3 separate regions of the Mus musculus genome follow, and all the other regions are reported to be linked to region 3. Evidence: microRNA targets listed by miRTarBase, many of them from high-throughput screens and not tested one by one. Region 3 holds a microRNA gene; each other region holds the end of a gene's coding sequence.
What was found. Region 3 holds the annotated microRNA mmu-miR-148b-3p (UCAGUGCAUCACAGAACUUUGU, at 4,625-4,646, shown strand). A microRNA usually pairs through its seed, bases 2 to 8, with sites in the 3' UTR of a target mRNA and lowers its output. Matches are read on the target gene's strand: a 7mer-m8 pairs with bases 2 to 8, a 7mer-A1 pairs with bases 2 to 7 and ends in A, and an 8mer does both.

Region 1: the mRNA of Trim43b is a reported target of mmu-miR-148b-3p. Seed matches in the 3' UTR shown: 7mer-A1 at 4,009-4,015.
Region 2: the mRNA of Mrpl51 is a reported target of mmu-miR-148b-3p. Seed matches in the 3' UTR shown: 7mer-A1 at 3,887-3,893.

Annotation. Positions count from the first base shown.
Region 1 is chr9:89,080,796-89,088,490 of GRCm38, forward strand. Trim43b (tripartite motif-containing 43B) reads right to left here. Exons shown (of 7, transcript NM_001170884.1): 5 at 7,504-7,526; 6 at 6,734-6,834; 7 at 3,829-4,921. The coding sequence ends at 4,449. It overlaps Gm40542 (a long non-coding RNA gene), which reads left to right and starts at 6,687. Exons shown (of 2, transcript XR_870985.3): 1 at 6,687-6,906; 2 at 7,466-7,613.
Region 2 is chr6:125,190,292-125,197,986 of GRCm38, reverse strand. Mrpl51 (mitochondrial ribosomal protein L51) reads right to left here and starts at 5,787. Exons shown (of 3, transcript NM_025595.3): 1 at 5,554-5,787; 2 at 5,361-5,471; 3 at 3,595-4,764. The coding sequence starts at 5,632. The coding sequence ends at 4,568. It overlaps Mir3098 (microRNA 3098), which reads right to left and starts at 2,195; the gene lies at 2,109-2,195. Ncapd2 (non-SMC condensin I complex, subunit D2) reads left to right here and starts at 6,401. Exons shown (of 32, transcript NM_146171.1): 1 at 6,401-6,489. Gm52878 (a long non-coding RNA gene) reads right to left here and starts at 1,253. Exons shown (of 2, transcript XR_003956366.1): 1 at 745-1,253; 2 at 1-126.
Region 3 is chr15:103,280,561-103,288,255 of GRCm38, forward strand. Mir148b (microRNA 148b) reads left to right here and starts at 4,565; the gene lies at 4,565-4,661. The region is part of intron 1 of Copz1 (coatomer protein complex, subunit zeta 1); the gene reads left to right. It overlaps Gm41406 (a long non-coding RNA gene), which reads right to left. Exons shown (of 5, transcript XR_003951562.1): 4 at 7,447-7,684; 5 at 5,802-6,140.

The DNA of each region.
Region 1 (7,695 bases), not on the chromosome of region 3:
TCTTGAAAAAAATAAACAAAAATAAATAAATAAAATTAATAAAAATGTGGTACAGACCCAAACAGAGAATTCTCAACAAATGAATCTTAAATGGCTGAGAAGCACTTAAAGAAATGTTCAGCATCCTTAGTTATCAGGTAAGGACAAATTAAAATAACTCAGATTTCATCTTACACTCATCAAAATGGCTGAGAAAAAAAAATCTCAAGTTCCATTTCATCCTGGCAAAAATGTGGAGCAAGGGGAACACTCCTCCACTGATGGGAGTGCAAACTTATACAACCTCGTTGGAAATCAATTGGGTAGTTTCTCAGAAAACTTGGAATAGACCTATCTCAAGATCCAGCTATAGACCCAAAAAATACTCAACCGACTATAAGGACACTTGCTCAACAAAGTTTTTAGTAGGTTTATTCATAATAGCCAGAAACTGGAAACAGCCAAAGAATGGATAAAGAAAATGAGGTACCTTTACATAATTGAATATTACTCAAATATTAAAAACAATGATATCATTAAATGTGTGGGCAAGTAGATGAATCTAGAAAAGATCATCCTGAGTGAGATAACCCAGACCCAGAAAGACTATTAGCCACAAAGTACAGGATAACTATTCTACAATCCACAGACATGAAGCTAAGAAACAAGTGGGGATCAAGTTCTCAGGGAGGACTGGAGGGAGAGAGTATGGGAGAGATGACTGGAATTGGATAACTTCTGGAGCTGATGTAGAAATCTAGTAATGGAGCTGAGCGTAGTGGAACACGCCTTTAATCCCAGCACTCGGTAGGCAGAGGCAGGCAGATTTCTGAGTTCGAGGCCAGCCTGGTCTACAGAATGAGTTCCAGGACAGCCAGGGCTACACAGAAACCATGTCTTGAAAAACCAAAAAAAAAAAAAAAAAAAAAAAAAAAATCTAGTAAAAAGTAAAATCCCTGGAATCTACAAAGGTGACCCCAGAGACCACTCCCAGTAATGGAGGATACAGAGCCTGAACCAGCCATATTCTATAACCAAGTGACTTACAGTGGTAGGGTTGCAACATGAACACAGCTAATGCCCTTAGACCTACAACCTATCCTGCCAGAAAGATGTGCTGGGGCAATGAAGGAGAACTAATGTGGCCAACTAATGAGTGGTCTAATTCGAAGCCCACAAGAGAGGAAGCCCATGCCCAACACTGCCTGGATCATCAAGAACTGGAGTCTGGATAGCCAAGGACCTAGGGTAGGAAAAATAAGTCAATGAAATGATCCCTAGTGGTATTCTGCTATACTCAAAGATTGAGGCCTAGTTCAATAGTCATCAGAGACACTTTCCCTAGAAGCTGATTAGAACCAATGTAAAGACTGACAGCCATGCATGAGATGTAGAGAGAGCCCAAATTGGAGCACTCCATTAGGTCCCTCCCCTCAGAGATCTAGGAACCCCATGGAAGAAGGGGGAGGAAGAATTATAAGAGTCAGTGGGGTCAGAGACACTAGGATAATACAGCAAACAGAAGCAACTAAATAAGGGTCCTGGGGGTTCACAGAGACTGAAGCAGCAACCCTGGAACATTGGTATGTGCTTAAGTTATATCTGCATGTTATGGTTTTTGGTTGGTTGGTTTTTTGAGACAGGGTTTCTCTGTATAGCCCTGGCTGTCCTGGAACTCAACTGTATAGACTCAGAAATCTGCCTGCCTTTGCCTCCCAAGTGCTGGGATTAAAGGCACCACTGCCCGGCATGTTATGGTTTTTAGCTTGGAGTTTTTGTAGGACTAGTAACAGTGAAGTAGATATCTGGCTCTTGTCTGCTCTTGAGACCCATTTCCTCCTACTGGGTTGCCTTACCCAGGCTTGGACTGGGAGAAATGAAAGGAGAAGCTATGATCTGACAGTATTATAAGAATAAATTTTAAAATGTATATACATGAGCTTTGTGTTTTACCTTATTAGATATGAGTTCAAAAGAACCACAATAGTTAAATAGGAAAGGATTTATACTCTATATGCTCTAAATGTGGCCAAGGTGAAGGCCATTTGCCCACAAAAGTACATTTGAGGAGCTTGGGCCTGGACATAAGCCACAGAGCTGCCCTGACTGCTAAACTGATTTGCTTTTTAGCTCTCATTTATTAATTTAAGGCAATTTCATATATTGTATATGCACCCATGGGCCCTCCTTCAAATCCCTCTTCCTTGTGTGCCTATTTAGAAGCAGATGTTCTGGTGCTCTGGCTCTTAGGATGTATCTGCCTCTTCCACAAGGTTTCCTGAGGGTTACATGAGCTGTTATATTGTCAATGCATCAAGTGAGGTTTTATGACTGGAATGTAAACTTTCCAGAAATTGGGGGATTTAGAAATTCTCCAGAATCCTGTACATGATATAAATGCAACCCCAACATTTGCTTTCTCTTTTTCTAATAAAAAAATGAGAAAAAACAAAACACCTCATCCCCTTTGAGCTTAATGCTTCTATGTTTTGTGATCTTATTGAACTGCATGCCTGGTGCTAAGTAGTAGTCGCATGGCATTTCTTATGTCTACTGTGTTCTTAGTCTTTTCTAAAATATTTGCAATATGCTTCCTAAAGGAGCAACCTAAGTTCTCATGTCTCTGCACAGTCCTTGGTGTAATATTCTGGTCAGAGCCTAGGTGTCACAGAAGTCAAATGGTCAATGGAGTCAAATCTTATGTTGGGATATTAAGAAGTATAACTTTATGCCTTTCGAAGCAACATGAGAAAGCAGAGGGAACTAGACTGGCTAACCAAAAAAATTTGAGGCTTCATTTCTGAAAGTCTAGAATCATGAAAGAAAATGGCCTTGGATGGGCATTACAATCTACTTCTCTCAGTGTTCTCAGGTGCACACGACCCTCTTTTTTTAAGATTTATTTATTATATGTGTGTACACTGTAGCTGTCTTCAGATACTGAAGAAGAGGGCATCAGAATTTTTTTTACGGATGGTTGTGAGCCACCATGTGGTTGCTGGGATTTGAACTCATGACCTTTGGAAGAGCAGTCGGTGCTCTTAACCGCTGGGCCATCTCACCAGCCCCACACACGACCCTCTTGCAAATGACCAAGGAGGGGTTTCCAGAAGAGAGAACCTGTTGAATGTCAAAAGACATTTGTGTGCTCTCTGAGACTGGAAGAATATTCAATATTTAAAGCTGTTTTATGTTGGAGACAATTAAAGTTTTTTCAAGTGTGTCCCCAACATAAAACAGGTTTAAAATAAAGGACGTGAAAGAGGGGGAAACTCACTTTCCTTTTTTTCAGGAAAAAAAAATCCCTCTCTGAACGATGAGAGCCTGTTTGTTGTTGTTGTTCTATCCCAGTTGGTAAATAATTATTTGTTTAGATCAAATAGGGATTCAAGCTTTTATTGATCAACAAATCTGCCTACAGTAGATCTCTGTGCCTCTGCCTGACGTCATTAACTTAGAATCACACAGATACAGAATATTTAAATGGTGCTGGAACTCTGGGAACTCTGCATCCTGAGTTCTAGGTCTACACTAGATCCAAGATTCTAATTAGTAATTCTCACAAATATGCAAAAACAAAAAGCAATAACTACTTTGAAAGTAAATGTTTGGCCTGGTGAGATGGCTCAGCAGGTAAGGGCACACTGACTGCTCTTCCAGAGGTCCTGAGTTCAAATCCCAGCAACCACATGGTGACTCACAACCATCCATAGTGAGATATGACGCCCTCTTCTGGTGTCTAAAGACAGCTGCAATGTACTTACACATAATAAATAAAATATTTTTAAAAAAGTAAATGTTCTAGGAGGAACAGGTGGACCACAGATAAGAAGCAGTCACCCATCTTTTACATTTAATATCATTTTATATTTTTTAAATTTATTTATTTATTATATGTAAGTACACTGTAGCTGTCTTCAGACACACCAGAAGAGGACATCAGATCTCATTACAGATGGGTGTGAGCCACCATGTGGTTGTGGGGATTTGAACACAGGACCTTCAGAAGAACAGTCCCTTAACCAAGAGTCAGTGCTCTTAACCTCTGAGCCATCTCTCCATCCCTTAATATCATTTTAACATGTCTTAGTTAGGGTTTTACTGCTATTAACAGACACCATGACCAAGGCAAGTCTTATAAAGGACAACATTTAATTAGAGCTGGCCTTCAGGTTTAGAGGTTCAATCCATTATCAAAGTGGGATCATGGCAATATCTAGGTAGGCATGGTAAAGACCCAGATGAGAGTTCTACATCTTCATCTGAACGCTGCTAGTGGAAGACTGACTTCCACACAGCTAAGATGAGAGTCTTAAAGCTCACACCCACAGTGACTCACCAACTCCAACCGGGCCACACATTCTAATAGTGCCACTCCCCTGGCCAAGCATACACAAACCATCACAATAAAGAGGGGACACATTATCATAGAAGTACTAGAAAAGCACTAGCATACTGGATTCCTATGATTATGTGTAGACAGCAGAGAAGAAAGGCCTGACAGCACAATGGAAAGTTCCAGGAGAGTAGCTGAGTATGAGGGAACTCTTGGCTACATCCACGAAACTTACATATCCACCCTCACAATCAAGGAACACGCCAACTTGGCCAACTGGCTTCTCTATATAGTGTTCACCTCCTATGCGGGTGATGAGAATGTAATGATCGTCCTTTCTCAAACACTCAAGAAATAGATCTGTGGGTGTCGCCACATAGCTTCTCCCCCTTAACCAGGGATCCTTACAGACTCCTACAGTCCACCGCCTATAGTCCTTCAAATCCACCTCCCAGTAGTATTTTCCCCTGGAGAAGCTCTTTTTTCCCCAGGAAACACGATGGGTTTCAGCTGAATCCAGAGATGTGCTTTCATGGAGAAGTCTGATATCAAAAGGTCTGAGTGAGGTGTAGCCGAACATGATTGAATGTTTAAAGGAAATCTTCACTGTGGGAAGAAAAGCCAACATTTTAGTTAAACCAACTGTTTACAGTTGTCAGGTGAATGAGGTCCCTAGAGATTTCCTGGTTTTAAAAATAGAAAGGCTAAGACTGGAAGGGTAGATATAGCCCAGATAAATAAATAAAAGTCAAGAAGTTCCCCCAAGAAACAGTGAGTACATAATGAAAACGTTTTTGAAAATCTGTAGAAGCTGCAGAGGAGGAAGCCACAGCACAGTTCTGTCAGGAGCTTTTCATTACCACTGAGCAACAGGAGGTGTGCAACACAATGAGGACCGCTGTGAAGGCTGTACCCCTGAGTCTCCATGAAAAGTTATTCCTAAGTCATGTCATGATTGCTTGCATCTTAGTGTTTTGATTTTCATTCCACTAAGCAGATATGTACTCAAGACAAATCTAAACATGCATTAGAAGTTGTCCCCTAATAGCAATTGTCTGCCTTTTACTAAGCCCTGGTTCCTCTGATATTCTTTCCCTGTGATGACAATCCATATTTAGATCTCCCAGTGTGATTCTGACTGCAGTGTCTTATCAACTCGTTTTATTTTTATTGCCTATGATATATGAATTTGTCTATTTGGGTTTTTTTTAATGATCATTTCTGTAGTTTCTTTGAGATGGGATTTCTTGCTATATATCCTTGACTGGCATGGAACTCACTATGTCAATCTGTCTGGCCTCAAACTCTTGGGCAATCCTCCTGATTCCATGTTTTTCATGCTGGGGTTACAAGTAGGTGCCACTATATCTTGTGAATTTTAATAATTTTTTAAAGATTTATTTATTTACTTCATGTATGTGAGTACATTGTCACTGTCTTCAGACACATAAGAGGACATCAGATCCCCATTACAGATGGTTGTGAGCCACCATGTGGTTGCTGGGAAGTGAACTCAGGATCTCTGGTAGAGCAGTCAGTGCTCTTAGCCACTGAGCCATCTCTCCAGCCCGTGAATTTTTAATCTATGGAGTATAATATACTTTAAAATTCAACTGGTAGCTGAGCATGGTTTCACATGTGTTTAATTAAAGCATTTAGGAGCCAGAGGCAGGTGGATCTCTGTGAGTCTGAGCCCAGCCTGGTTTACAGAGCTAGTTCCAAAACAGCCAGGGGTACAAAGATAAATCATAGCCGGCCGTGGTGGCATACACCTTTAATCCCAGCACTCTGGAGGCAGAGGCAGGCAGATTTCTGAGTTCAAGGCCAGCCTGGTCTACAGAGTGAGTTCCAGGTCAGCCAGGGCTACTCATCCCAGGAAACCGTCGCGATCATAAACAAGGTATGCCACAAGCGCACAGGGTGGAGTGCGTGGTGACGGGAGGGAATGATATCTCGTTTGGAACAAGGTGGACAGAATAAGAACCTAGCTTGGGGACGGGGATGCACGGTCTCTCCCTCTGTCGTGTCCGTCTTTATGCTTTAATGACCAGGGCTACAGGGTGTGTTTGTCTCGAAACACACCCCCCCCTCCAAAAAGATAAATCATGACTCCAAAATGAAAAAAAAAAATCAACTGCTAAAATATTTAATAGAAAACATACAGTGCTGGAGAGATGGCTCAGCGGGTAAGAGCACTGACTGCTCTTCCGAAGGTCCTGAATTCAAATCCCAGCAACCACATGGTGGCTCACAACCATCCGTAATGAGATCTGATGCCCTCTTCTGGGGTGTCTGAAGACAGCTACAGTGTGCTTACATATAACAATAAATAAACCTTTAAAAAAATATATTCACTGTGCAAAGTTTATCTCACTGTTGAAGGGCACCTCTGGTCATTATATCAGTCCTGACACTCACCTCGGAAGGAGTTGAGCCTTGCAGTCAGCCCAGGAATGGAATGGGCACGGAGTCTTGGTATCATACCCTGTGGCATGTCCAGCTTTGCCGCTAGCTTACTCCTGCAAGGAGAAGACATTGATATGCTAAGATTATCATCCCAGTGATGAGGAGAAATCTTCACTCAGAGCTAAGTAAGACTCAGGGGTTAAAACCCTTGCCATACAACCTGACAACTGAACTTCAATCCCAGGATCCCATGGTGTAAGGAGAAGACTGACTGAGAGTGGTCCTCTGCCCTGCACACATGTGCACTCACATAGGTATTCATAGAAATTGAATTTTTATAAAAGTAAACACTTACCTGAACATTTTTCACACAAAACATTTTCTGATATTAAAGAAACCCCATGATCAGGAGACAGGGTAGTTTCCTCTTAGATGCTGTTTCTGAAGCCCTCCTGCTACCAATTCCGTTCTTCCCATGCTTCCAGCCCCTTTCTTCTACTACCAGGAAAATATAGCCCGTGGGCCTCAATGATTGGGATTGGAAAACAACAAATTTTAGCTCAAGCCCATTACATACACTACTTCATTCATAGGGAGAAAGAAAAGACACTGTCTGATAGAAAGGTGAACAGCCATCATACCCATGAAAACCATCCCAAACACAACATCCATAAACAATTAAGGATTTGCTAAACAAAGTGTATCTATACTTTGCTAAGAGGTCTTGTTCTGCTTTTTCCATAGGTCAGGGTATCCTGGCTTACACTGAGGACTAAACTCACCTTCTGAACAAGTCATCCAAGTCCTGCAAACAAAACAAGAGAAGCTTAGTTACCTAAAGAAACAGAACACAATGTGGTTTCATATATATGAGATTTATTTATTCATTTTACAGATATGAGTACACTATTGCTCTCTTCAGACACACCAGAAGGGGGCATCAGTGCTCTTAGCCATTGAGCCATGCCACCAAC
Region 2 (7,695 bases), not on the chromosome of region 3:
CTTAACTTCTCAGCTTATCTTTAGGCACACAAAGTAGTTCCACTAACAAATACTACTTGTAGCCTTGCTGTGTGCTGGCTCCATGCTATTTCTCACATCTGTGCCATTTTGCTCTGCATCATTTGCCTGAAAAAAAAAAAATTGTTACCTCCCTCTGCACCCCCTCCCCACTTTTAACATTCCTTTAGGATAAATTAGTGGTGATCTGATCACCTACAGGAAGCCTTCCCTGCCCTCTACCTGCTCCCCTGGGGTTGGTTAGGGACTCCTTCCTGCCTGTGTCTATATAGTCATTTCCCATTGAATTCCTAGCACTGACCCTTTCCAAGACCTACTTCAAGCACTTCAATCCACAGTCACACACACACACACACACACACACACACACACACACACACACACACACACACACACGTGCATGCATGTGCACACACAATTTTCTCACCCCCTTTTAAAAACAAACAAACAAAACAAAAACAAAAACCTCATGTGGGACTGGAAAGCTGGCTCAGTGGTTAAGAGCTGCTCTACCAGAGATCCTAAATTCAATTACCAGGAGCCACATGGTGACTCATAATCATCTATAATGAGATCTGGTGCTCTCTTCTGGTGTGCAGGCCTACGTGTAGGCAGAACACTGTGTACACAGTAAATGGATAAACCTAAAAACAAAAACTCATGCTGCAACAATATTTTTCCCACGCAATTACCGAATTCAGATATGCATCTTGTTTACATACGCACCCTGTACCTGACGGATGAAATCTTTTTACAGGCAGTGGTGTAGCCTTGGTTTGTGGTGTATATGCCTCCAAGGTCCTTCCACACAATGATTCAGTGTTTGTTGAAGGGAAATGTTGCATTCTTTTTCATTACAAAAACAATCCAGCTCTGTGCTTGAAAAATAAGACTTTTTGTAACTGACAGCAGGAAGAATTTTATACGGGCTTCTGGGGCTGACTTGTTAGTTCCTTCTTCACTAACACTTGTGAGATTGTATTAAAACATTTTCCTCTTCCTTTTCTACCTTTCCCCCTCCTCTTTGGTTTCTCAAGACAGGGTTTGTGTGTGTGTGTGTGTGTGTGTGTGTGTGTGTGTGTGTGTGTGTGTGTGTAGCCTTGGCTGTGCTGAAACTTGTTCTGTAGACTAAGCTGACCTTGAGCTTATAGAGAAACACCTGCCTCTGCTACCCAAGTGCTGGGATTAAAGGGGTGACCACCGCGCTTCATGGCTTTTTTGTTTTTTCTTTTCTTTTTTTTTTTTTTAAAGATGGGATTTCACTGTGTAGCCAAGCCTGGAACTTGATATGTAGACCAGGCCTGCCTCTGTCTCCAGGGATCAGTCCTGGGTTCAAAGGTTTTTGCCTCCATGCCTGAAGACCTCAAGACTTCTTAGCCTCGTTTTATCAACCCTTGTTATTTAAATTTTGTCCTTTGGGATCAAGTCTCTAAGCAACCAAGCCCAAGAGAGGCTGAATAATAAGACCTTGTGCCAAAAGAACTTAGCTGGGGCTGTGGAGAGATGGCTCAGAGGTTACAAGCACTTGCTGTTCTTGCAGTGGCCCTGATTTGGTTCTCAAAAAAACAAAAACAACCCAAACTACCAATTGACTAAGTAGATGTGAGTGAAGATGTCTCAGGCGTGTTAGCCCACTGCTGAATATGGCCTCGTGACAGCAAACTAGATTAACCATCTGAAGAAGAAAACCCAGAGAAAATGATTTGAAGTTGTTTTAGTCATTGAGTTTAAGAATGGACTGTTACGTCATAAAAGATCATTGACACAGAACTTAGATTTAAATCAAATAGGATAACCACCCTAATTTTTCTACCTTCAGAGCTCACTTGAGTCTACAAGCAATTCATTTTCTTGGATTTGCAATACTTTTAACATTTTTAAATTTTATTCTACATCCCAACCACAGCTTCCCTCTCAACCACAGCTTCCCTCCCTCCATAGTCTCTCCCTGCCACTTTTCCTCCCCACACCCAGATCCCCACTCCCCTGTTCTCCCCAGGTCAGGCCTCAGTGGCTATCAACCAGCCATGGCATATCAAGTACAGTAAGACAAGGCACCTCTTCTATTAGGGCTGGGCAAGGCAGCCGGTTGTGGGGAAAGGGTCCTAAAGGCAGGCAGCAGAAGCAGGGGATAATCAGAGCTCCTACTCCTGCTGTTAGGACTCCTCCCAACCACAATGTGTGGAGGGCCTAGCTCAGTCCCATGCAAGCTCCCTGGTGGGCAGTTCAGTTTCTGTGAGCTCCTAAGGGCTCAGGTTAGTTGATTCTGTGGGTTTTCTTGTGATGTCCTTGACCCCTCTGGCTCCTACAGTCCCTCCCCCCACTCTTCCAAGAGAATCCCCAAGCTCTGCTTTGTTTGCCTGTGTGTCTCTGTAATACTTTTTTGTTTTGTTTTGTTTTTTTCAAGACAGGGTTTCTCTGTGTAGCTCTGGCTGTCCTGGAACTCACTCTGTAGACCAGGCTGGCCTCAAACTCAGAAATCCTCCTGCCTCTGTCTCCCAAGTGCTGGTTTTAAAGGCGTGCGTCACCACCGCCCGGCAATACTTTTTTATAAAAAGAAGTAGGTATTATATAGCCTTGGACATGGCCACTAAATATGAGGATTAAACAGTAGTTTGAAGCTGGATACAAGGACTCACACATATAATCTTGTCACTCTGGAGGTAGAGGCAGGAGGATGGGTCCCAGTTTGAGCTATAAGAGTTCCAGGCCAGCCTGAGCCTGACTTTGAGAGACTATAGGTTTTTGGTGTTTGTTTGTTTGTTTTTGTTTTTATGTTTGTTTTGTTTTTTCGAGACAGGATTTCTCTGTATAGCCGAACTCAGAAATCCACCTGCTTCTGCCTCCTGAGTGCTGGGATTAAAGGTGTGCACCACCACCGCCCGGCTTATTATTATTATTTCATGTTTTACATGCAATAATACATGCAGCTATGCCTGTGCACATGTGCATGCCTGTCTCCATGGGAAGCCCAGAAACTGGAAGTATAGTCAGCCTTGAGTCACCATGTGTGAGCTGGGAATTAACCTGGGCAACCTGCAAGAGCATCCCTGGGAGATGGCTGGAATCATCTCTCCAGCCCCAAGACTGTTTAAAAAAAAAAAAAAAATGCAAGAAAAATTCCCTGGATTACCTTTCTGTCATCTCCAGACTTCTCACTGAATTGATTTCAATTGAAACATAAATTCAAAAACCTGTGGAAAATGTGGTGGCTTAAGCCTTAGATCCAACACTAAGGTATTATCTCCATGAGTTCAAGGCTAGCCTGGTCTACATACTGAGTTCCAGGATAGCCAAGGCTACATAGAGAAAACCCTATCTCAAAAAACCAAAAGAAGTAAATGAAGAATGTCATAGCAAAACCTATTATTTTTGTAATATATACTAACAAAAGCAAAGTGCAGCAGAGGGTCTATAGCTCACTATAAAGTACTTGGTATATCCAAGACGCCAGCACTATGCCATATAGAAGAGTCTCTCAGGGAAGCCCACACTCATGCTCTCAAGTGTTTTACCTCTGAACACCTCTCTCATAGCCCTGATGCTCAAACCTGTATTAAAATATCTTTCTTTTTAAAAAAAGATTTATTTAATGTATGTGAGTACACTGTAGCTGTACAGATGGTTGTGAGGCTTCATGTGGTTGTTGGGAATTGAATTTAGGACCTCTGCTGCCTCAGTTGACCTTGCTCTCTCTGGTCAACTCCACTTGCTCTGGTCCAATGATCAAAGACTTTTTTATTATTAAAAATAAGTACACTGTGACTGACTTCAGATGCACCAGAAGAGGGCGTCAGATCTCATTATGGGTGGTTGTGAGCCACCATGTGGCTGCTGGGATTTGAACTCAGGACCTTCAGAAGAGCAGTCAGTGCCATCTCACCAGCCCTAAAATATCTTTCTTAAATGACATTTTTTTCCCCTAAAAAAAAAAAAAAAGCAAACAGGGTAGCACACACAGGGGTAATACTGGGTGTGATCTTTAACACTTCATAAAACTGGGCATGACTCAAGGTCAGCCTCCACAAAACTGCCCTATTCAAGAGGATGGGAAATGCTGTGGTACTCAGACAAGTTCCCTAACTTATAACTGATAAGAGCAGTACAAAGTGTAATTTCACTTTCCTAGTTCATTTTGGGGTGGCAGAGTCTTTAGAAATAGCAGCTACACTTCCAAGGGCCTGGGCGGCTAGTGGCAGAGTTCCCTAGAATGAGCAAGTCCCTGGGTTTCAGCTCCAAGATTACAAAAAAATAAGATAAAATAAATAAAAATAAATTCTTTAAAAACTTACACGAGGTGCCAGTGTCAGAAAGTGCCAGCAATAAATGATTGTTATAAAGGCCACAAGCATAACTGGGCTGTAAGTAATAGTAACAAAAGATCATGTGACTTAGGAACGAGGCAGACGTCAGAGTGCATGAGTAAATGTAGCACTGGGCATATCAGATTCCAAAGGAGCCCCATTTTTTTATTACATCGAGCACACAAAGCTCTCTCCTTGCTGGGATAAGTCCTGTTCCCCTTCTCCAGGGTGACACATTTCCCGTCCTATCTGTACTTCCCATGTCGGTTAAAGTGTTTGTAGAGATAGCTGATCCGTTTGTTAAGGTTATGCAGGTCCTCAATGAACATCCTGTTTCCCACAAATTTCTTCTTTCGGACACAACGCTGCAATTCATTTCCTCTCCAGCCTCGAAGCCATACTGGGCCCTTGATCAGTTCTTTTGGGTGCTTCTCGAAATTCCCTGTAACGTGACAGAATATATACTAGTTTCAAGAGAAGAGAAGTCAGCCTAGCCCAACTAGGCCTTCAACACAGTTTCATCTCCCTGATCAGAACTACTGACAGACAAGGCACACACCAGTCTAGTACAAGGGACAGAGTCTTTGTAACACTTGCTCTTCCAAAGGATTCCCCAGCACTCTCAACTGAAGGTTCACGACTGCCTGAAAGGGAAGTTCTAGGAAGTCACCCTGAACCTGCAGGCATTGCTTGAGCAGTACACGGTACACATTCAGAAAACACAAAAATCTTATTTAAAAAAGAAGAAAGAAAGAAAGGAGTAAAGACTTTGCAGCCAGAAATGTCTGGGTTCAAATACTGACACTCCCATTTACTCGCTTTGGCCCTCAGACCTGCCCACTACTGTGTTAGTGAGACTGAGTCCCGCACTCCTCACTATTCTCCGCATCTCAGACTGGTCTTGCCTGGCTTCATCTCCCGTGTAACAGGTTTGTGCCCCCAGGCTTGCCCCGGGCACATTACTATTCTCTCCACAAATAAAACCGAAAGAGTCAAGAGAGCATACTAATCCTTCAGAAACCAGGAATCGCGTCCTACCCAGGATTCCAATGTTGTCGTAGACGCCAAACAGAGCCCTCTTCTCGTTCCAGCGATCAACCACTTTGGGAGGTGGAAGAGTGAGCCTTACGAAGGCCAACCGTGGGACGCCTAGGGAAGGACAGAAGCATGAATCAGCACTGCCCAGTGACAAGCCGTTAGCCGGCCGTCCTACTACACTTAAGCCACTTACCCAGAGAGAAGCTTCGGCATGCCGAGGGCACCCAGCCCCACAGTCTCCTACTTGCCGCCCAAGGGACACTCCCTGCCATTACTCTAGCCTGTCCGCCTCAGTAGGGGCAGCAAACCAGCCGGAAAAATGGGGAGCGGGTGTGAATTCCAAAGCCAAGACACAGATTACAGTCCCAGGCGGGACTCACACGGTAGTGACAGTAAGAGGAGCCATTTTGGGCCTTACCCAGGTAGCTTAGGGAGTCATCCCAAGGTGGCTCGCACAGCCACAAGCCCCGCCCTCCAAGTTCCGGCCTGTGAGGCGCGTCCAGTCAAATACTTCCGGTTTAGCCCCTGGAAGAATGGAACCGCTGCGGTGTTTGTTGTCGCAGGAAAGGACGCCCCCAAACCGAAATTCCGTTAAAATAAGCTCTCTCCTGTCCCTTGCGCGTCCTCAACTGTGAGGGAAGTGGAGGACGGGAGCCTGGCGCTACGGCAAGCTGAGTTTTGCTGGGGCAGTATATTCCCGGAGTGTACAGGGCCGGGCGCCACATGGTTAAAAGCTGGACTGCTTTAGGCGGCCCGCGGAGAGACAACGGGTGACCATGCTTAGCCGACTACGGTAGAGATGCCGGGAAAGCGCAGACTCGGGGCCACGCCCCTCGCCCGCTTGCCCCGCCCCCGGGGCTGTGATTGGTTGGCTTCTCCAGCCTCTGTCGCGATTGGCCTCCTGGCAGCCGTTGAGGTTTGAACAGGGAATTGCGGGCTCCGCGAGCGCGACGCCTGGCGCTGAGGCGGGTCTCCGTCTCAGCCTGCCGCGGATTGGCCGGTTCCTCCGCTAGCTTGAAAACCATCTCGTTGTTTGGCGCGTATCCTGCCCTATTGTTTTCTTCCTTCCTTTTCAGCAGGGGGCTCTCCGGTTGAAGAAGCGGCGGGTGAGGGGTGTCGCGGGGTCCAGGTGAGATGTGGCAGTGCGAAAGGTTGGGAAGGGAAAGGTTGAGAAAAAGCAGGTCCAGGACGTGACGCAGCCTTTGCCGGAGTGCGGTCGGGAGCGACGGTCTGGTAGGGATGCCCTTGAGATCCAGTATGGCTGTGTGTCTGACAGATCAGAATCTGAATGTGTGGTGTGGGCAAAATCGCATAGCCTTACTACCCAATGTGTAAATTTGGTTGTTTCGTTCTGCACCCCATGAGACTGAAATCAGGCACAGGATAAGTAGAAGTTAATGTCCTTCCATTCCATTGATTGGGCTGGAACCCCAATGCTCAGTAAAATATTTCTTAAGGATTTTTTTCACTTTAAAATGGAAGCAATAAGTCTGTATGTATACACTGATTGTCACTTAATAGTTCATTAGTATTGTCTTGTGTTGTTGTGTTGTTGTTGTTGTTGTTGTTGTTGTTGTTGAGATGTACTCCTTGCAGCCTCACTGCAGTCCTGGCTGACATCAAACTCAGCAGTCCTCCTGCCTCAGCCTTCTAATGTTGCCTTTATACACATGTTCCACCACCCCTGGCTATTGACTAGTTTTTATCCCTTGATTCTTTTGATCCCCAGAGCAACACCATTTTACAGAGACCATGAGACTCAATGACTTAGTGTCAGAATAATAAGAATTATGCTCACTTGATCTATTTGTGTTGATTTTTAAAAAACTAATAGTGATATATTATTTTAAAATATCATACAGTTAATATATTTGGAGTTATTTAAAATTTATACCGAGAAAAACATATGTATTTTCAGTATTGCTGTAGACAAACATCTGCATAAGACTGTTCAATTGATTGTTGTGTTATATCACACAACTTTTATAATACTCATTGTTATTGTTACAATATTATATGTATATATATTTTTGTTTGTTTGTTTTGTTTTTTTTTGAGTTAGGGTTTCTCTGTATAGCCCTGGCTGTCCTGGAACTGCCTCTGCCTCCCGAGTGCTGGGATTAAAGGCGTGTGCTACCACGCCCAGCTTATTTTATAAATTTTAAAGAATATGATAAAAAACAAAAGGTATTGCAGGTTTTGAAAGGGGGGACTCTCTGGGAGGAGTTGGGGTACAAAAGGGAAAGAAGAATGTGATGTAAGTCTATTTACTCAAAATATGTAACAAATTCAGGTAAATTGAAATTATGTATCTTTTCTCATCAGAATGCAATAA
Region 3 (7,695 bases):
CCAGCCTGGTCTACAGAGGGAGTTCCAGGAAGGCCAAAGCTACAAAAAGAAACCCTGTGTGTGTGGGTTATGGGGATGTGGGGGGAGAATAAGACGAAGAGAAGGAGGGAGGGGAGCAGAGGAAGGAAGGAAGAATGAGTGAATGAATGAATGAATGAATGAATACCAGGGGGTCTGGAGAGATGACTCAGCACATAAGAAAAGCACTTATTGCTTTTATAGAGAACCCAGGTTTGGTTCCTAGCATCCACAGGAGATCATACATGTAAAATAAATTCTCTAATTCATACATGTAAAATAAATGTTTTACAATTTAAAAAAATACAATTAAAAAGGGAAAGAAAGAAAAGCAAAGACCTGGTACTCTACATTGCCTAAGAGCTTGAGGCTTGTTAACTTGTACAATTTGGTCACCAAAGCTGGAGGCCACCGAAAGCTGGAGGTTTATGGTGCTGACCCTTACTCCCCCTGCTGGCTGTGTGAGATCCTTGGCCATATTAACTTACAAAGGCCACATATTTTTATTGAAGTTGTTAACTGACTGAAGGCAGAAAATCATTCATTTCCTCTTCACATTCAAAAGACTGTTTGGCTTTTTTGAACAGGGTCTCACTATGTAGCTGTGGCTGGCCCAGATCTCACTACGTCTACCAGTGTGTCCTTAGACTGACAGAGATCAGTCTGCTTCTGCCTCCCAAGGGTTGGGACTAAAGATGTTGGCCACCAAACCGGGCTCTTCACATAATCTTATCTTCAGAGGATTGAATTTTAAACCTAGTTCAGTCTCACCTGTGTGGTGTGGGTGTTTGTTTGTTTTTTGGGGACAAAGTTCAGAAATTTTTATCAGCTTATCACAAGGGTCTGCTGTAATTTTTTTTTTTTTAAAAAAGGCCATAACCCTAGCTAATCTAGGTCCAGCCTTTCACTTCTCCTATGAGGAAGTTGAGTATCAGAGAAAGGGAGGGGAAATTTTGAGTTAATAACTTACCCAGAATTCAGAGATGCCAGCTCCTTCAACTAGCAGAAGTTTTGCCCCATGCTTGGACTCTCCATGTTTCCTATCTGTATGTCTGTATGGGGTAGGAAGATGTGTGTGTGTGCATGCATGCGTGTGCAGATATAATGAATGTGTGTGCATATGTGTGGAGGGTGGAGGCTAACCTCGGGTGCTATTTCTCCTCAGCAGCCAGCCATGTAGTTGGTTTTTGTTCATTTGTTTTGTGTTTTGTTGTTGTTATTGTTTTGAGAGAAGGTTTCTCTGTGTAGCCCTGGCTGTCCTAGAACTGGCTGTATAGACCAGGATGGCCAGAGATCCACCTACCACTCACTGCCTAGCTGAGTTGTTATTGTTGATTACCTTTTTGATTTGGCTGGCTGGCTGGCTAAAAGGGATCTTTGCTACCCTGACAGTGCATGTGATTAAATGCACAAGTACTTCCACCAGCTGAACTATCACTCCAGTTTTGGGGTTTTTTTTTTTTTTTTTTTGGTTTGTTTGTTTGTAGACAGAGGCTTGTGAACTTACGTAGCTGATGATCTTGAACTTTGAGTCTTCAAACCTCTGCCTCTTGACTGCTAGGGTTACAGACTGTGATGCCATGTCTGTTTTTAAGTAATACTAAGGATTGAACCCAGGGCCTCATGCATGCTAGGGAAATACTATAACAGAACCATAGTCTCAGTTCCTAAGAAGATTCTTCCTACTGTGACTTTCTGCCATCAGTACCTCCAGAATATGTGTTTAGTTTCCCCTCTACAACCGAAATTTGGTTTCATATAAGATAGATAATTTCTCCAGGACCCATGGGTCTTTTTAAGATAGGGTCTCATTATATAGCCCCAGCAGGCCTGGAACCCTTTATGTAGACTAGACTGGCCCTGAACTTTCAGAGAGCACCCTTTTTCTACCTCTTCAGTGCTACGATTAAGATTTGTGGAGGAGCTAGAGAAAGTATCCAAGGAGCTAAAGAGATCTGCAACCCTATCGGAGGAACAACATTATGAACTAACCAGTACTCCGGAGCTCTTGACTCTAGCTGCATATGTATCAAAAGATGGCCTAGTCGGCCATCACTGGAAAGAGAGGCCCATTGGTCAGGCAAACGTTATATGCCCCAGTACAGGGGAATGCCAGGGCCAAAAAATGGGAATGGGTGGGTAGGGGAGTTGGGGGGAGGGGGGACTTTTGGGATAGCATTGGAAATGTAATTGAAGAAAATACGTAATAAAAAAAAAAAGAAAAGAAAAAAAAAGATTTGTGCAGCCGGGTGTGGTGGCGCACGCCTTTAATCCCAGCACTCAGGAGGCAGAGGCAGGCGGATTTCTGAGTTCGAGGCCAGCCTGGTCTACAAAGTGAGTTCCAGGACAGCCAGGGCTATACAGAGAAACCCTGTCTCCAAAAAAAAAAGAAAACCAAAAAAAAAAAAAAAAAAAAAAAATGTGTGCAGCTATGCTTGCCTCATGGGTCTTACTTTCTGGGCTTCTTGTTGTTTTGGTTTTTAATGTGTCCCTATGTGTGAATGCCACTTGTGTGTGAGTGCCTGTGGAGGCCAGAAGAGGGTGTCAGATCCCCTGGAATTGAGAGTCACAGACAGTTATAAGCTGTCTGATGTGGATGCTGGGAACCAAACTCCAGACCTGCAAGAGCAGTAAGCACTCTTAACTGTTGGTCCATGTCCTCAGCCCTGTGAGTTTTTCTTTCTTTCTTTTTTTAATGTGTTTATTATTTTGTTTGTGGCACAGTCTAAAGCATATTCTGAGCACAGAATCCACCCCTGAAGCCCCTCAGCTGTGTTTCCCAAATCTAAATGCTATCCTTGTCAAAACTTAGCTAAATCTTCTTTTCATCTGAACTATGTAGGCTTCTGTAGTAAATTAGAGCTCTCAAACTCAGCATACCTTTTAATTTTAAAAAATTTTAACTCAGGGTTAGGTAACAGAATACCTGCATAGCCCTGTGGTGCTGGGAGTGGTATCTAGGAATTTCTCCTTCTAATTTTGTTTTGCTTTTGAGACAAGGTCCCACTCTATCCTAGGCTGGCCTAGAACTCACTATGTGGTCCAGATTGGCCTCTCAACTCCTGCTCATCCTTCTAAGTGCTTGGGTTACAGGTGTGTGTACTACGAAGGGCTCTCTTAGTTTTAACTCTCTAGGTTTCTTTTTTTTTTTTTAGATTTATTTATTTATTATATGTGTGTACACTGTAGCTGTCTTCAGACACTCCAGAAGAGGGCATCTGATTTTTGTTACGGATGGTTGCGAGCCACCATGTGTTTGCTGGGATTTGAACTCAGAACCTTTGGAAGAGCAGTCGGTGCTCTTAACCACTGAGCCATCTCACCAGCCATTTCATTTTATAAGCAGGATTGAAAGACCATCTTGTTACAGTTTTTAATTAATAGATCTATTGCTAAGCCCAAGAATTTTACTGTATCCCAAGAATATCTTTGTAAGTAGGGAACACAGATCTTTCCAGGAATCTCAGCCATATTGTTTTGTTTGTTTGTATGTATGTATGCATGCATGCATGCATGCATGCATGCATGTGTATATATATATATATTTTTTTTTTCGGTTCAGTTTTATTTTATATATACAAGTGTTTTGTCTTTATGCATATATGGGCACCGTGTGCATGCAGTACCTTCAGAGGCCAGAAGAGGGTGTCAGAACTCCCTGGAACTGGGAGCTGGGATCTGAACCTGAGTCCTCTGCAAGAGCAGCAAACGCTCTTAACCTCTGAGCTGTTTCTTTGGATTCTTAGGCCTTTTGGTTTTGTGACCTAAGAGACTTAAATAGTTACTTGTAGTTCTAAAATATCCTGTCTCTCTGCTCTATGTAGACACTGTTCCTCCAAGCTTTTTGATCTCATACAGTGATCTTACCCAACTATTCACTTACTATCCCATATATATTAGTTAAGCCAATAGACTTAATTCCGTAGTTTGGTTTGTATTTGTTTTGAGACAAGGTCATTTGTCCCAGCCTGTCCTAGAATTTGACAAGCTGCTGAGGATGACCGTGAACTTCTGATCCTCCTGCATGTAGGGTTACAAGCATGTGTCACTACCGTTAGCTTTCCGTGTTTTCTTTTACAAACCTGTTTGTATTAGTTTTATTTAAAATGCAAAATACATACAAATCGAGTTTGGTGGGGGTTTGTTTTGTGTGTGGATTAAGCACAAGGTCTCACACCTTAGGTGAGCACTCTGCCCAAACAGCTTAGGCCCCAAACCATTGCCTTTCTGGCACTGTTTGCTTGGGCTGTAATCCTGAGGAAGCTGTGTGTCAGGCAGGAGGTCCACAGAGGGCAGCACTGGGAAGGAATCTTCTTCCTCTAGCCTTCCCAGTATAGGCCTTGGTGCTCCAGACTTGATGTTCCCACCAGGTTTCTGGAGACTCTGATGGAGATCAGAGAGTTAGTTGCAGCAGCCTAGGTGCTTTCTGCATGACGTTTCAGCTGTCCCAAAGACAGCTTTCTAGTTTTCTTGATAATAAAAGCAGACACGAAAATCTATCCCTGCCACTCCTCCTCCCACAGCCAGTCTGCCTACCCACCACTTACAGGCACCCTTAGCATTTGAGGTGAAGTTCTGTTATACACTCAGGCTGTGGCTCTGAAAGTCAGTGCATCACAGAACTTTGTCTCGAAAGCTTTCTAGCAGCTGCCCATTTGGGGAGTGAGAGGGAAGAATAGATCTTTTCAGTCCTTTGAATATGGTCCTAAGATTGTAGGGTCTTTTTCAAGAGTCAGTATTTAATGCATCACAAGGTCAAAGCCCAGTCCCATTGTCCAGGAAGCTCATTTCTTAGCACCTGGGAGTTATTTATAACATGTCCTTTGCAAAGCTTAGAATGAAGTTACATTATTAGTAATGGCTTCTAGAGCCTTTAAACTGGCTGGTTTTCTGATATGAAGGGAATTCTCAGGCTTCCCCACTCCTGAGAGGTAAAGGCATAGGGTGGAGTGGGGCCAGCTACAACAGAAGTGAGGAGAGCTGGCTCTACTACAGCATGATGGTGATGCCTTTAAGTGGCATTCTGTCTCCTGCCGAATACCCCAGCTTTCCTTGTTGTGGGTCTTCCTTTGCAAGTTTGAAACGGTCAGGCTTTGTTCTGCCTTCCCTCTTTTTCCAGAACTCCAGTGCCTGAAAGCTGGTCTGGTCTCTCCTTTCTCCCTTAACCTGTCTTTTATCTTGCTCAGGAAGACCCAGTGTTTCTGTTTTAAGGTTTCTTTGATCATATCTTCTAGGCAACCAGTGAAAGAGTCAGGAGCAGAATCCTGGGTTGTATTCTGTTGTTAGCATGGCTGTGTAGGTGCTTAGACATTGCTGGCCACAAGAACACTGGCTCTCCCACTTGGCAGGTTGCCATTAGGGATTTTGGCTTCTGTGAGGGTGGGGGTGTGTGCTCCCATTCCTTCCAGGAATACCAGACTCTGGCTGCAACAACAGTCACCAATGCCAGATTAAGGTCCAGTTGCAACTTGTGGGCAGCTAGCCCTGTGTGGTTGCTGTGAGTGTGGATGAAGGGGCACAACCATTTCCTTCTGTTAGGATTTTTTTTTTCCCATTAAGAAAACTCGTTCCCATTGAGGGCTCCATTTTGGTACTTGAACAGCCAAGTGGCTGTAGAACAGAGCCTGCTCTGTGGGGTGATCTTTCTGTATGGAGCTAGGAGTTAGTAGAACAACTTCTGTTGGTGGCTCTTAGACTATACTTGAGAAGACTTCCCTATGCCAGACAGCACAGTTCCCCAGTTGCAGAGGAAATGCTCTTGTCCTTTATTCCAGAGAGCAGTGTGGCTAGGGTGGCAGTTTTCAGTGTGTCAGAGGAGAGGGTGGGTTGGCAATAATATCATCGTAGAACAATCTCACTACAAAATCCACTTAGATGCAAAATCCAGTTATAATAAATCATCGTGCTGAGAGATTTCTTTTTAAACTTTATTCTCAACTTTGAACAAATATTGAGAGCTCGGGATTCGCCAGGCATTGCTCTGTGCACTTGAGATGAATTAATGAACAAAATACAAAAATTGGTGAATGTCTTGGTTTGTTTCTTTTTGTTTTTTGAGACAGGACCTCATCAAAAATTACCATCATTAGGAATTCAAATCATATGCACATGAAGACACACACCTGTAATTAGGAAGTAGTAGGTGGATTAGCTTTAAGGTTATACTTGACTGTACACTGGGACTACATAGCATAGCCTACCTGATAAAAAAAGTAAGTGGGGAAAACGAAGCTTACGTTTCTTTTTGTTTGTTTGTTGTTTTTGTTTTCAAGACAGGGTTTCTCTGTATAGCCTTGGCTGTCCTGGAACTCACCCTGTAGACCAGGCTGGCCTCGAACTCAGAAACCCACCTGTCTCTGCCTCCCAAGCGCTGGGATTAAAGGCGTGCGCCACCACTGTCCGGCTCAAAGCTTACATTTCTTAGGTCATTTTCTTTCTTTTTTTTTTTTTTCTTTTGAGACAATAATTACATGTATAGCCCTGGCTGTCCTGGGACTCGCTTTGTAGCCTTGAACTCAGAGATCTGCCTGCCTCTGCCTCCCAAGTTCTGAGCCAGAACTGCTGGGCTCTTATACCATTTTCAAAAGACTGGGTTAGTGAGCTGGAGAAATAGGCCAGCAGTTAAGAGTCCTGGCTTCTGTCTAGTGGTGATGGCACATACCTTTAATCACAGTGACTTCCGGTACAAAGCCAGTCAAATCTCTGAGTTTAGGCCAGCTTGGTCTACATAGAGAGTTTCAGTACATAGAGAGTTTCAGTACAGCCACAGCTATACAGAGAAATAGAACACTGGCTTTTAAGCAGGGTCTGGTGGTATACATCTTTAATACCAGCAGTAGCAAAGCAAAAGGCAGGCAACCTTGAGTTGAGTTCAAGTTGAGTTGAGTTCAAGGACAACCTGGTCTACACAGTGAGTTCCAGGATAGCCAGAGTTTCATAGTAAGACCCTGTGTACAAAACAAAACACAACAAAACAAGAACAACCAAACAACCCAGCACTACCAACAAAATCCACTGGTTTCTCTTCTAGAAGACCCAGGTTCAAATCCTAGCATCCACGTGGCATCTTTAATTCCAGTTTTAAGGGATTCTGACACCCTCTCTGGCCTCCAAGGGCACCAGTCATGCAAGTGGTACACAAGTTTACATGTAGACAAAACAACCATACACATGGGGGGCGGGGAGTGATCACTTTGGAAGCAGTCTTGAGGGTTCAAGGCCAGCTGGGCTACATATTGAGAGCCCTTATCTAGATAGATAGATAGATAGATAGATAGATAGATAGATAGATAGATAGATAGATAGATAGATAGATAGATGAATGAATGTGAAAAAAAGAAAAGGAAAGCCTGGGTTAATACCCACTTCTCTTGAGCTAAGGTTGCTTCTTTTTTATGAAGCCCCACCTCTCCAGGAGCCTCACTTTACCTCTGTCAGGCTGCAGTCTCTGGATCCTTTGCAGTAATTCTTTCTTCTGCCTCATGTCTTTGTTAAACTTATATTTTTGAAGATGGGTGAGTTTTCTAAGACCAGGAGAGCAAAGCAGATAGATAGTCTTGCCTTGGACCAGAGGTAGTGAGAAGTAGTCTTGGTGAGACCTCAAATTCTGTGAGTGGCGGAGGCCTGCTGTGCACAATGCCAGCTGCTCTCACTTTCCTTTTTCCTTCTGAAAGTTGT